Linked DNA regions of Cricetulus griseus. The main gene of each other region encodes a partner of the protein of the gene in region 2 in a complex. Links are inferred from orthologs where the notes say so. Each region holds a gene or a part of one and is shown on either strand. Other genes may lie near its edges.

The links.
Region 1: Gtf2f1 (region 2) and DNA-directed RNA polymerase II subunit RPB11-a share a complex: the UniProt entries of both Homo sapiens proteins name them as parts of the TBP-based Pol II pre-initiation complex. The link is inferred for Cricetulus griseus from reciprocal best matches to the Homo sapiens genes GTF2F1 and POLR2J.

Annotation. Positions count from the first base shown.
Region 1 is NC_048597.1:115,110,959-115,115,519, reverse strand, and holds the start of DNA-directed RNA polymerase II subunit RPB11-a, read right to left. Parts: upstream 3,065-4,561; 5' UTR 2,961-3,064; coding exon 2,908-2,960; intron 1,310-2,907; coding exon 1,220-1,309; intron 1-1,219. UniProt on the Homo sapiens protein: Core component of RNA polymerase II (Pol II), a DNA-dependent RNA polymerase which synthesizes mRNA precursors and many functional non-coding RNAs using the four ribonucleoside triphosphates as substrates.
Region 2 is NC_048598.1:96,546,457-96,550,862, reverse strand, and holds the start of Gtf2f1 (general transcription factor IIF subunit 1), read right to left. Parts: upstream 3,093-4,406; 5' UTR 2,828-3,092; coding exon 2,816-2,827; intron 2,731-2,815; exon of another isoform or gene 2,725-2,730; coding exon 2,678-2,724; intron 1,362-2,677; coding exon 1,289-1,361; intron 211-1,288; exon of another isoform or gene 206-210; coding exon of another isoform or gene 134-205; coding exon 1-133. Other genes in the region: adenylate kinase isoenzyme 1-like, read left to right, coding at 3,446-3,506, 4,212-4,406. UniProt on the Homo sapiens protein: TFIIF is a general transcription initiation factor that binds to RNA polymerase II and helps to recruit it to the initiation complex in collaboration with TFIIB. It promotes transcription elongation.

The DNA.
Region 1 (4,561 bases), on a different chromosome or scaffold from region 2:
ATATGTTATACAGACATGTGTAGAAAAACATACCCATACAAGAGTTACAGGTTGGGCTAGAGAAAAACAGCACAGTGGTGGAGCACCTATTGCTCCTTAGAGAATCTGCATTTGGTTTCCAGTGCCTCCGGCAGGTGGCACACAATTCACAACTCCAGCTCCACGGATCCAACACCCTCTTCTAGCCCTACTCAGACACTACATTCACAATATATTTTTTGGTTTTTCCAGACAGGGTTTCCTTAACAGTCCTGGCTATCCTGGAACTCAATGTAGGCCAAGCTGGCTTTGAACTTACAGAGATCTGCCTGCTGTGGTTAAAGGCACAAACCACCAGACCCAGCACATTACATGCAGGGAAGGCTGGAGAACTGGATTAGTTAAAAGGTTTCCAGCACCCATGTGGCATCTAACCACCTGTACCTCCAGCTCCAAGGGATCTAGTTCTTTCTGACCTTCATGGGTAACAGACACACGGTAGACATACATAGGCAAAAGGTGTTTTAAATTTAAAGAAAGTATTGCTCTTGGAGAGGAGCCAGAGTCAATTCCCAGCACTCATGTCAGGTGGGGACCGTCTGTCACCCCCCCAGCTCTGAAAGCACTGGCAATCACCCAGTAACAAAAGTTTGGTAATCTGCCGATGCCTGCAGCTTTCTATCAAATGTAGGGGTAAGTGAGGTGACACTGCTGGCCCCCTTTGCTTTATCTTTTTGAGATACTGTATGTAACTGGCTGTCCTAGAGCTTACTATGTAGACCAGGCTGGCTCTGAACTCACAAGTACTCCATCTGCCTCTGCCTCCCGAGTGCTGGAATTACAGGTGTGTACCACCATACCCATCACCTCTTAGCATCTTGATGCCCACTAAAATGAAAACCTGCTTTGCTGGAGTCCCCTGAACTTGATCTTGGCCAAAAGACCAAGAGGCAACTGCAAACTTATACACTACATGAATGAGCCAACAGGAAGCTGATGTGTTACGTGTTACGTGGCCAGGATCCCGGCAACCATGGTAAGGTGAGTCAGTTTGAGTCCAGTCTACACTACATGAACCCCTACATCAAAAAGCCAACAAAAGCAAGCCGCATGTGAACAGACCTGTCAGTGACAGGTTAAAGTGCCAGCAAGCTGCGGAGAGACGGAAGGAACCGTCCCAGGGCATGTGCTCAGCCTACAGAGCTCTGGTGACACTCGAGGCCTCTGGCCTGGGACTTACGATTTGATGATGTTCCCCAGAGTGTGGTCTTCTTTGTTGATGGTGAACAGGCAAGCATTGGGCACCTTTGTGTCCTTGTTAATGGTGATTCTACAATGAGACAGGCAAAGGCTGAGGGTGATAGCTTTCCCTGGCCCCACATCCAGCTCTTGTGATGCTGACACTGATTCTCAAATCGGTGTCCCCTTTGTGATCAAACATTCTAGAAACTGCAGTTGGGCTGTTCCCACTACCCCAGAAACAAAAACATCCAGCTCTTTCCCTCATACAAATTGGTTGTCTTAAACTAGCTCTTGACTAAATTCTTTCCTAGAAGACAGAAAACAGCTTGTCTCCAAACCCCCTAACAATTCAAGGGAGGCCATCATTCTGCAAGTCCCACTATCCCCAGTCTGCTCGCCCCAAAGGGCTCTCTGAGAGCTCTGGCATGGTTCAATGGGTCACCATTTATCTCAAATTTTTAAGGCTCTGGGTTTCATCCTACCACTCACTCCCCCTCCAAACAAAACAAGCAAGGTAGGCCTGCTGGGACTAGTCACTGGGACTAGTAATCCCAGTGACGGGGGCAGGAGGGCAGAGAAAAACACTGTCATCCTTGCCTTCCTTGACAGACCATGCTGGCTGACTCCTATCTACACTTCCACGTCCCTGGAGGAGCAATGAAGTAGGCACATTGCACAGCTTTGACACGGCTTCTGGAGATCCACACCAATCCTCAGCAAATGCTTTGAGCTGTGACCCACTGAGCCATCTCCCCAGCCTAGCAAATGTTGGGCAGGGGGAGCTGGAGTGAGCCAGGCAGTGGTGGAGCACACCTTTGATCCAGCGCTTGGGAGGCAGAGGCAGGAGGATCTCTGTGACTTCGAAGCCAGCCTGCACTACAGAGCGAGTTCCAGGACAGCCAGAGCAACACAGAGGAAACCCTGTTTTGAAAAACCAAAAGAAAACTACAAAAAAAAAAAAAAAGCTCGAGTGTAGCTTATTGATAGAGCAGTAACCTAGCATGGGCCAGACCCTGGGTCCAGTCCCCAGCATGACCAAAACAAAAAAACAAGGAACCTTCTCTACTCCGTGATGGCACCTTATCTATACACACCAAGGACCCTTTCCCACACAGGATTGCTCCTTTTTTCTTTTTCAGAACGGGATTTCTCTTGGTCCTGGAACTACCTCTATAGACCAGGCTGGCCTTGAACTCAGAGATCCGTCTGCCTGTGCCTCCTGAGTGCGTCATTAAACCGTCGAGTCCTGAAATTCTTTCTAGTGTTGAAGCCACGAACCTGAGTTTGGCCGAGATCCCTGAAAATCTAGAGGAAATCCTCAGGCTGCTGAGGAGTGTGAGAGGGTAGCTGTGTCTCGGTCCCTTCACCGCTACCATCATTATCCTCCTGCCTCAGTCGCCAAGTCCTGGAATCACAGGCGATCGCACCCTATGCAGGGGGGTGAGCTCTAAAGCCATCGCTGCGCAGCATGGATAATGGGGCTGCAGACCAGTGAAAAGGGAGCCTGACACTCTGAGTTCGAATACAGTCCCCGACACTTCCTAAGTGTCTGGAGCAAGGGCTCGACGTGCCCCGGCCTCAGTTTCCCCGCTGTAACACAGGCGTACATCGCACCACCGCCTGAAGTTCGGCAGACGCGCACGAAGCACAGTGCTCACCGCGCCAGAGCTAACGGCCTCCACTTACTTCTTCTCGCCCTCGAAGAGCAAGAACGACTCGAAGGCCGGAGGAGCGTTCATCCTAGAGGTGCGCTCCGGCTCCCAGACTCAAGCCGCAGCCGCCGTTACCACACTGAGCTCCGGACCGCGACCACTTCCGGGTCACGAGGACACAGCCAATCAAAGCCCCTGGCCCCGCGCCCCCTGGTGGACCGGATGACCTTCGGCAGGCACGAGCAGGCGAGGCGGAGCAGGTTAGAAATCCTGTCCAAACCCCAGGGGCAGCACCTCCCAGCACAGGAGGCAGAGCCAAGCGGATCTCTGTGGTTTCGAGGACAGCCTAGTCTACAGAGTGAGTGCCAGGATAGGCTTCAAAACAACACAGAGAAACCCTGTCTTGAAAACAAAACAAACAAAAAGAAAAAAAAAAAAGTGGCTTTCACCAGGCGGCTCTTTGGCGCATATTCCAGCGAGGGAAGGCTGGGCCACCTGCAACTGGCTCACTGAGCTGGAATCCAAGCTGTGTATGTGTATGAGCTGCTGCTGCAGGACCCCGGCTGGCTGGATGAGGAGCAGGAAGGTGTGTAAAAGTGACAGGGTGCCAGCGGATCCTCTGTTGGACACACAGGTAACCAAAAAACAATGACAGCCTGGCACCTCTCTGCTTTTCAGCCGTCTTTGTGGCTATTGTGGCTATTTTTCCTATTTTTAAAGATTTCTATCTGCCTGTCTGTGCAGAACGTACATACAGGAGCCTTTGGAGACCAGCCTTGGAGGTGCTGGGAACCCAACTCTAGTCCTGAAAGAGTAGTCAGTCTTTAACTGCTGAGCTATTTCTCCAGCCTCCATGATGGTTCATTTTGTCAACCTGATGAGATTTAGTATCATTGTGGAAACAGACAAGTGGGCCAGCAGGACAGTCCAGTGGGTAAAGATAGTGTCACCAAGCCTGACTACATGAGTTCAATCCCCAGGACCCATGTGGGAGAAGTTGAGAACCAATTCCTCTGACCTCCCTGTGTACACACAATGTATATACAAACAAAACAAAACAAAAACTTCTGAGTGTGTTGGTGAGATTCTAGACAGGTTTAACTGAGGAAGGAAGGACTCACCATTAAGGACTCACCATTAAGGACTCACCACGTGCATGATGCCATCCTAGAGGCTAAGCCCTCAGACTGAATAAAAGAGGAAAGGAAACCATCTTGTTCTGCTTCCTGGATGCAGGTGGCAATGTGATCAGCTGCCTGGCACTCCTGTTGCTATGACATCCCAACCCTTCCTGAGGATGCTTCTGTCGGGTTTGTAGACACAGCAACAGGAACAATAACTCAGTCTCCTAGTCTTTGGAGTAACAGGTATGAGCCAGCCTAGCCATTGGTACATGAGCACTAAAACTTCACTGTATAACATGGAAGATGGCAGTGCCACCAGGGGACAAGTGAAGACAATGCCAGGTGCCAGAGGGCTTTGGAACCCTTCAAACACCAATCACATCATGCTCCCCCTTGCTCTGCATATTGACTTGTTATCCCTGGAGTGTCTACCTAAGGACCATTGATACCTAGCCCAGCTCATCCTCCTTCAAGGCAGAAGGCACAAAGATAATGCAGGCATCTTCCTCGGCTTTTATGTCTCCTTTCAAACTCAGAAGAAGAAGGGGGAGGAAGAGCAGGAAG
Region 2 (4,406 bases):
TCAGGACGATGCCATACTTCTTTCGTCTTGCTTCCTCCCGGAGCTTTCGGTTAAATTCACTGCCTGCTCCGGACTCTGGCATTTCCTCTTCCTGGTAGATCTTCTTGTTGCTCAGATCTCGCTCTAGCCGGGCCTGGGGGAGCAGCAGGCATGGATCCTCAGGCCCCACAGGAACACCCTTCTGTCTCCCTCTGCTGGATTCCATATGCTCTGGGCATCAGGAATGGAGGGTTTGGATTCTCAGTACCCAGGAACAAAGCTGGGCAATGCCACATGCATCTGAGGCCCCAGCAGGCAGGAACAGACAGGAGGGTACCTGGAACTCACTGGTCAGCAAGCCCAGGTTCAGTGGGATACCCTGACTCAGAAACTCATGAGGAAAGTCTGTGAGAGAGTGTTGCCTGCGAAGCCTTAGACTTCAAGACCCAGGCAGGTGAAAACTGACCCCTGAAAGCTGTTCTCTGATCTCCAAATTGTGTCCCACACTCATCTGTGGCCTAACATATGTCATCCAAATAATAATGTGCAAAGTAACTAAAGAAGACACCTGTTGTCAACCTCTGGCCCTGAGATGCACCACATGCCCACAAGTGCATGTGCACACACGAAATGTCACACACAAAAGGGACTCCAGGGAATGGGGCCCTTAGAAAGACCACAGAGACAGGCGGTGTCCACCAGGGGATAGCTCAGATGCAACCAGACAATATGGAGATATAGCATTTTAACATGGCACCCAGAATAGTGGACAGTTTAAAACTTTGGCCTTTAAAATTTCCTTATTTATTTTTTGGTTTTTCAAGACAGGGTTTCCCTGTAGACCAGGCTGGCCTCAAACTCACAGAGATCCACCTGCCTCTGACACCTAGTGCTGGGATTAGGATTAAAAGTGTGTGTGCCACCAGCGCCCGCCATACTTTGTCTTTGTTAAAGCATGGTCCAGGTATCCTAGTCTTCACTTGAGCTCACTTCATAGCCAAGGATAGTCTTCAATTTAAGAACCTATACCGCATGCCTGTGTTGGGATGATAGACACGTGCTACCAAGTCCAGCACACATGGGGTCCTACTTGGCCTGCTATATGCTAGTTGATGCTCCATTAACCAGCCACAACCCAGGCTTGCTTTTTTTTGAGACAGGATTTATGTAGTCAGACCACACCTCCAAATGGTTGGAACCACACATCTGCCAGGGTTGTAAGTGTAGCCGCCACCACTTCAAGAAAGTGATGACTGTAACCACCACCCAGTTAGGCCTCTGCCCCAGCCACCCAGAATTATAGACTTACCTGGTTCCAGGTAGCAAAGTTGACTTTATCAGCTGCATTAAAAGCCATTATGTTGTACTTTTTGGTTGTGTTCCTGGAATGGGCAAGAGAAAATTCAGTCTACTGATTAGTCATTCAAAAAATCCACCATGATTACACCCCTTGGTTGTAGGTAATTCTGGGAACTCATAAAAGCTCCAGAGCAGTGGTTTTCAACCTTCCTAAAGCTGCACCCTTTAAAACAGTTCCTCATGTTGGGGTGATCCCCAACCACACAATTATTTTCGTTACTACTTCCTAATTTTGCTACTGTTATGAATCATAATGTAAATATCTGTGTTTTCTAATGGTCTTAGGCTTAGACCATTGGTCTAATTAGACCAATGGTCCAATGGTCTTAGACCCTGTGAAAGGGTCATTTGAACCTAAGGGGTTACAACCCACAGGATGAGAACCACTGCTCCAGAGTTTGTTTAAGAAGCTAGATCAAAAATAAATAAATAAATAAATAAATAAAATAAAATGGATCCATCTCCTCCAACCCTATCAGAAGTTAGCCACACCCAGAAGCCCCAGCATGCTCACAGTGCATAACTATACATGCAGACAAAACATTTTTTTTTTTTGAGACAGGGTTTCTCTTTGTAGCTTTGGAGCCTATCCTGGCACTAGCTCTGGAGACCAGGCTGGCCTCGAACTCACAGAGATCCGCCTGCCTCTGCCTCCTGAGTGCTGGGATCAAAGGCGTGTGCCATCAACACCCGACTCAGACAAAACATTCTTACACATAAAGATAATAAAAGAAAAAGTGGGCCACCAGGCAGTGGTGGCAAGTGCCTTTAATCCCAGCACCTGAGGGAGAGGGGGGAGCAGAGGCATGCAGATCTCTGTGAGTTTGAGGCCAGCCTGGTCTACAGAGCAAGTTCCAGGACAGACTCCAAAGAAATACAGAGAAACCCTGTCTTGGGAAAAAGAGGAGATCAAGCAGGCAAGAGGCGGAGGTGTGTGAGGGTCTTGGTAGGTTTAAGGCCAGCCTGGTCAAATCAGCTAGAACTACATTACACAGTAAGACTGGTCTTCAAAATAAGAGAGGGCTGGGTATGGCTTAATGGTGGACTACTTGGCCTCGCATTCATCTAAGTTTGGGAATTTTTTTTTTTTTCGAGACAGGGTTTCTCTGTGTAGCCCTGGCTGTCCTGGAACGCGCTCTGGCTTCCAGGCTGGCTTCAAACTCCCAGAGATCCACCTCCCTCTGTCTCCCGGATTAAACGCAGCCACCGTGTGTGGCCTGAGCGTCTGAAAATAGGACAGAGTCATCGAGCCTGACATTAACTACGGTGTGACTGTTACTGTGACTTGCACGGAGCCACCACCGGGCCGAGGAGCGTGTGGTGGGTGTGGGTGACTTACTTGGGGACTCGGACGACATACTCGGTGACGTTCTGGCTGCCGGGGCTCTGCAGAGGAAGCACGGGTTTGTGAGGCGAGGAGAGGCCGTGGATCTGTCCTGCCACCCCCACCCCGCCTCTCCGTTTCATTCATACTCACTAGAGTCGCCATGGCCGTTGCTCAAGCGGTTCCGGGGCGGCGTGATCCGATGCTCTTCGTGGTATCCCTCGGTCCCGGGGAAGGCAACTTGCCCGGGAGTTACGTTGGTATGATCCTGTGTTTTGTGTCTCCAAACCCTTAAGTCTCAAGAAGACGTGACTCTGACCCGGAACTAGAACTGCCACACCGGGGTGGGAGCTACCTCAGCACTCACCTAGCTCAGGCGGTCTCCAGCCTCTGACTAGCGCTCTCGCCGCCAGCGCGAGTGATTTATTCACGGCGCGTGGGCACGCCCCTCGTGACGTCACGGCTCAGGCACCGCGGTGCATCCTGGGCAGGGTGGGAGTGGCGTCTTCTGGCGAGTGCGTCCTCGGCACTCCTGCGCATGCGCCAACGTGCCAGTGGCGGGTGCGGAGGCCGCGTTGCCATAGCAACCGCGGCCGGCTCCGCGAGAGGACTCTTGGGGCTCCGGGGGGGGGGGCGGGGGGCTGGGATTCCGTTTTCTGTGCCCCGGGTGCCGGGGGGAATTCCGGGCATCTTGCAAAAATGAGCCCCTTGTGACGTCGAGCGGAGCCAAGGGGTCGGGGCAGGTGGGAACCCGGCCCCCGCGTACTCCGGCATGCGGGCAACATGGGTCTGTGCCAGTCCACGCTGCCCCAGGTGGGCAGAACTTTGAGGACCCAGGAGAAGGGTAACGTGGTGGGGTGGTTGGCTTACGCGGGTGGCGGACGGGGCGTGGGAGCAGGTATCCCACCCACCGTGCGGGTGTGCTCACACTAACGCGGCAAGAACGCAGCTGCGCATGCCCTCTCCCCCCCAGTGGTGGATGCCTGCGGAATTACAGCTCTAGAGGAAGGGCTCAGAGAACGGGGGCCTGAGGGATGCATAGGAGTTGGTTAAGCAGAGGGACAAGGCAGGCACAAACCTTGAACCATAAACGGCTACTGACTTCCACGGTTGGTAGCAGAGACATTCATTTCTTCACCATCAAGGGCCATGCACCCTGGGTTACAGAGGCTGGCTAGGAGGACCAAAGCGAGCCGAAAGAGAGAAAGAACCATGGCTGACTATGGAATGCATGGGGGGAGGGGGGTCTGAGGCAGGGGGAGGACAAGCTGGGACGCTTGACCCCAGCACGGGGGGAGGTGTGACTGTAGACGTAAGCAGGTAGGTTAGACAGGACCACCGCATGCTGGACTGAGCAGGGTGCGGCTGCGTGAGTTTGAGGGCCTCTCCCTTTCATTATCTGTAAAATGGGGTGATGGAATTACAAGGGTGCTCCAAGGAGGTCTGTGCAAATGGCTCAAGAGAATCCCAGCACTGGGATCCTTCGATTCGAGACCAGGGCACCCTGAAGACACGCACTAGTACCCACTGTCTTCCATGAACACTACAGATGTCCTGAAGTCTCCCCTGATCATCTTCGTGGTGGGCGGCCCTGGCTGCGGGAAAGGGACACAGTGCAGAAACATGGCCACCAAGTACGGTTTCTGCCACGTGGGGCTGGGCCAGCTGCTGCGGGAGGAGGCTCAGAGGTGCACCCGGCGGGGTCAGCAGATCCGGGACATCATGCAGCAGGGACTCCTGGTGC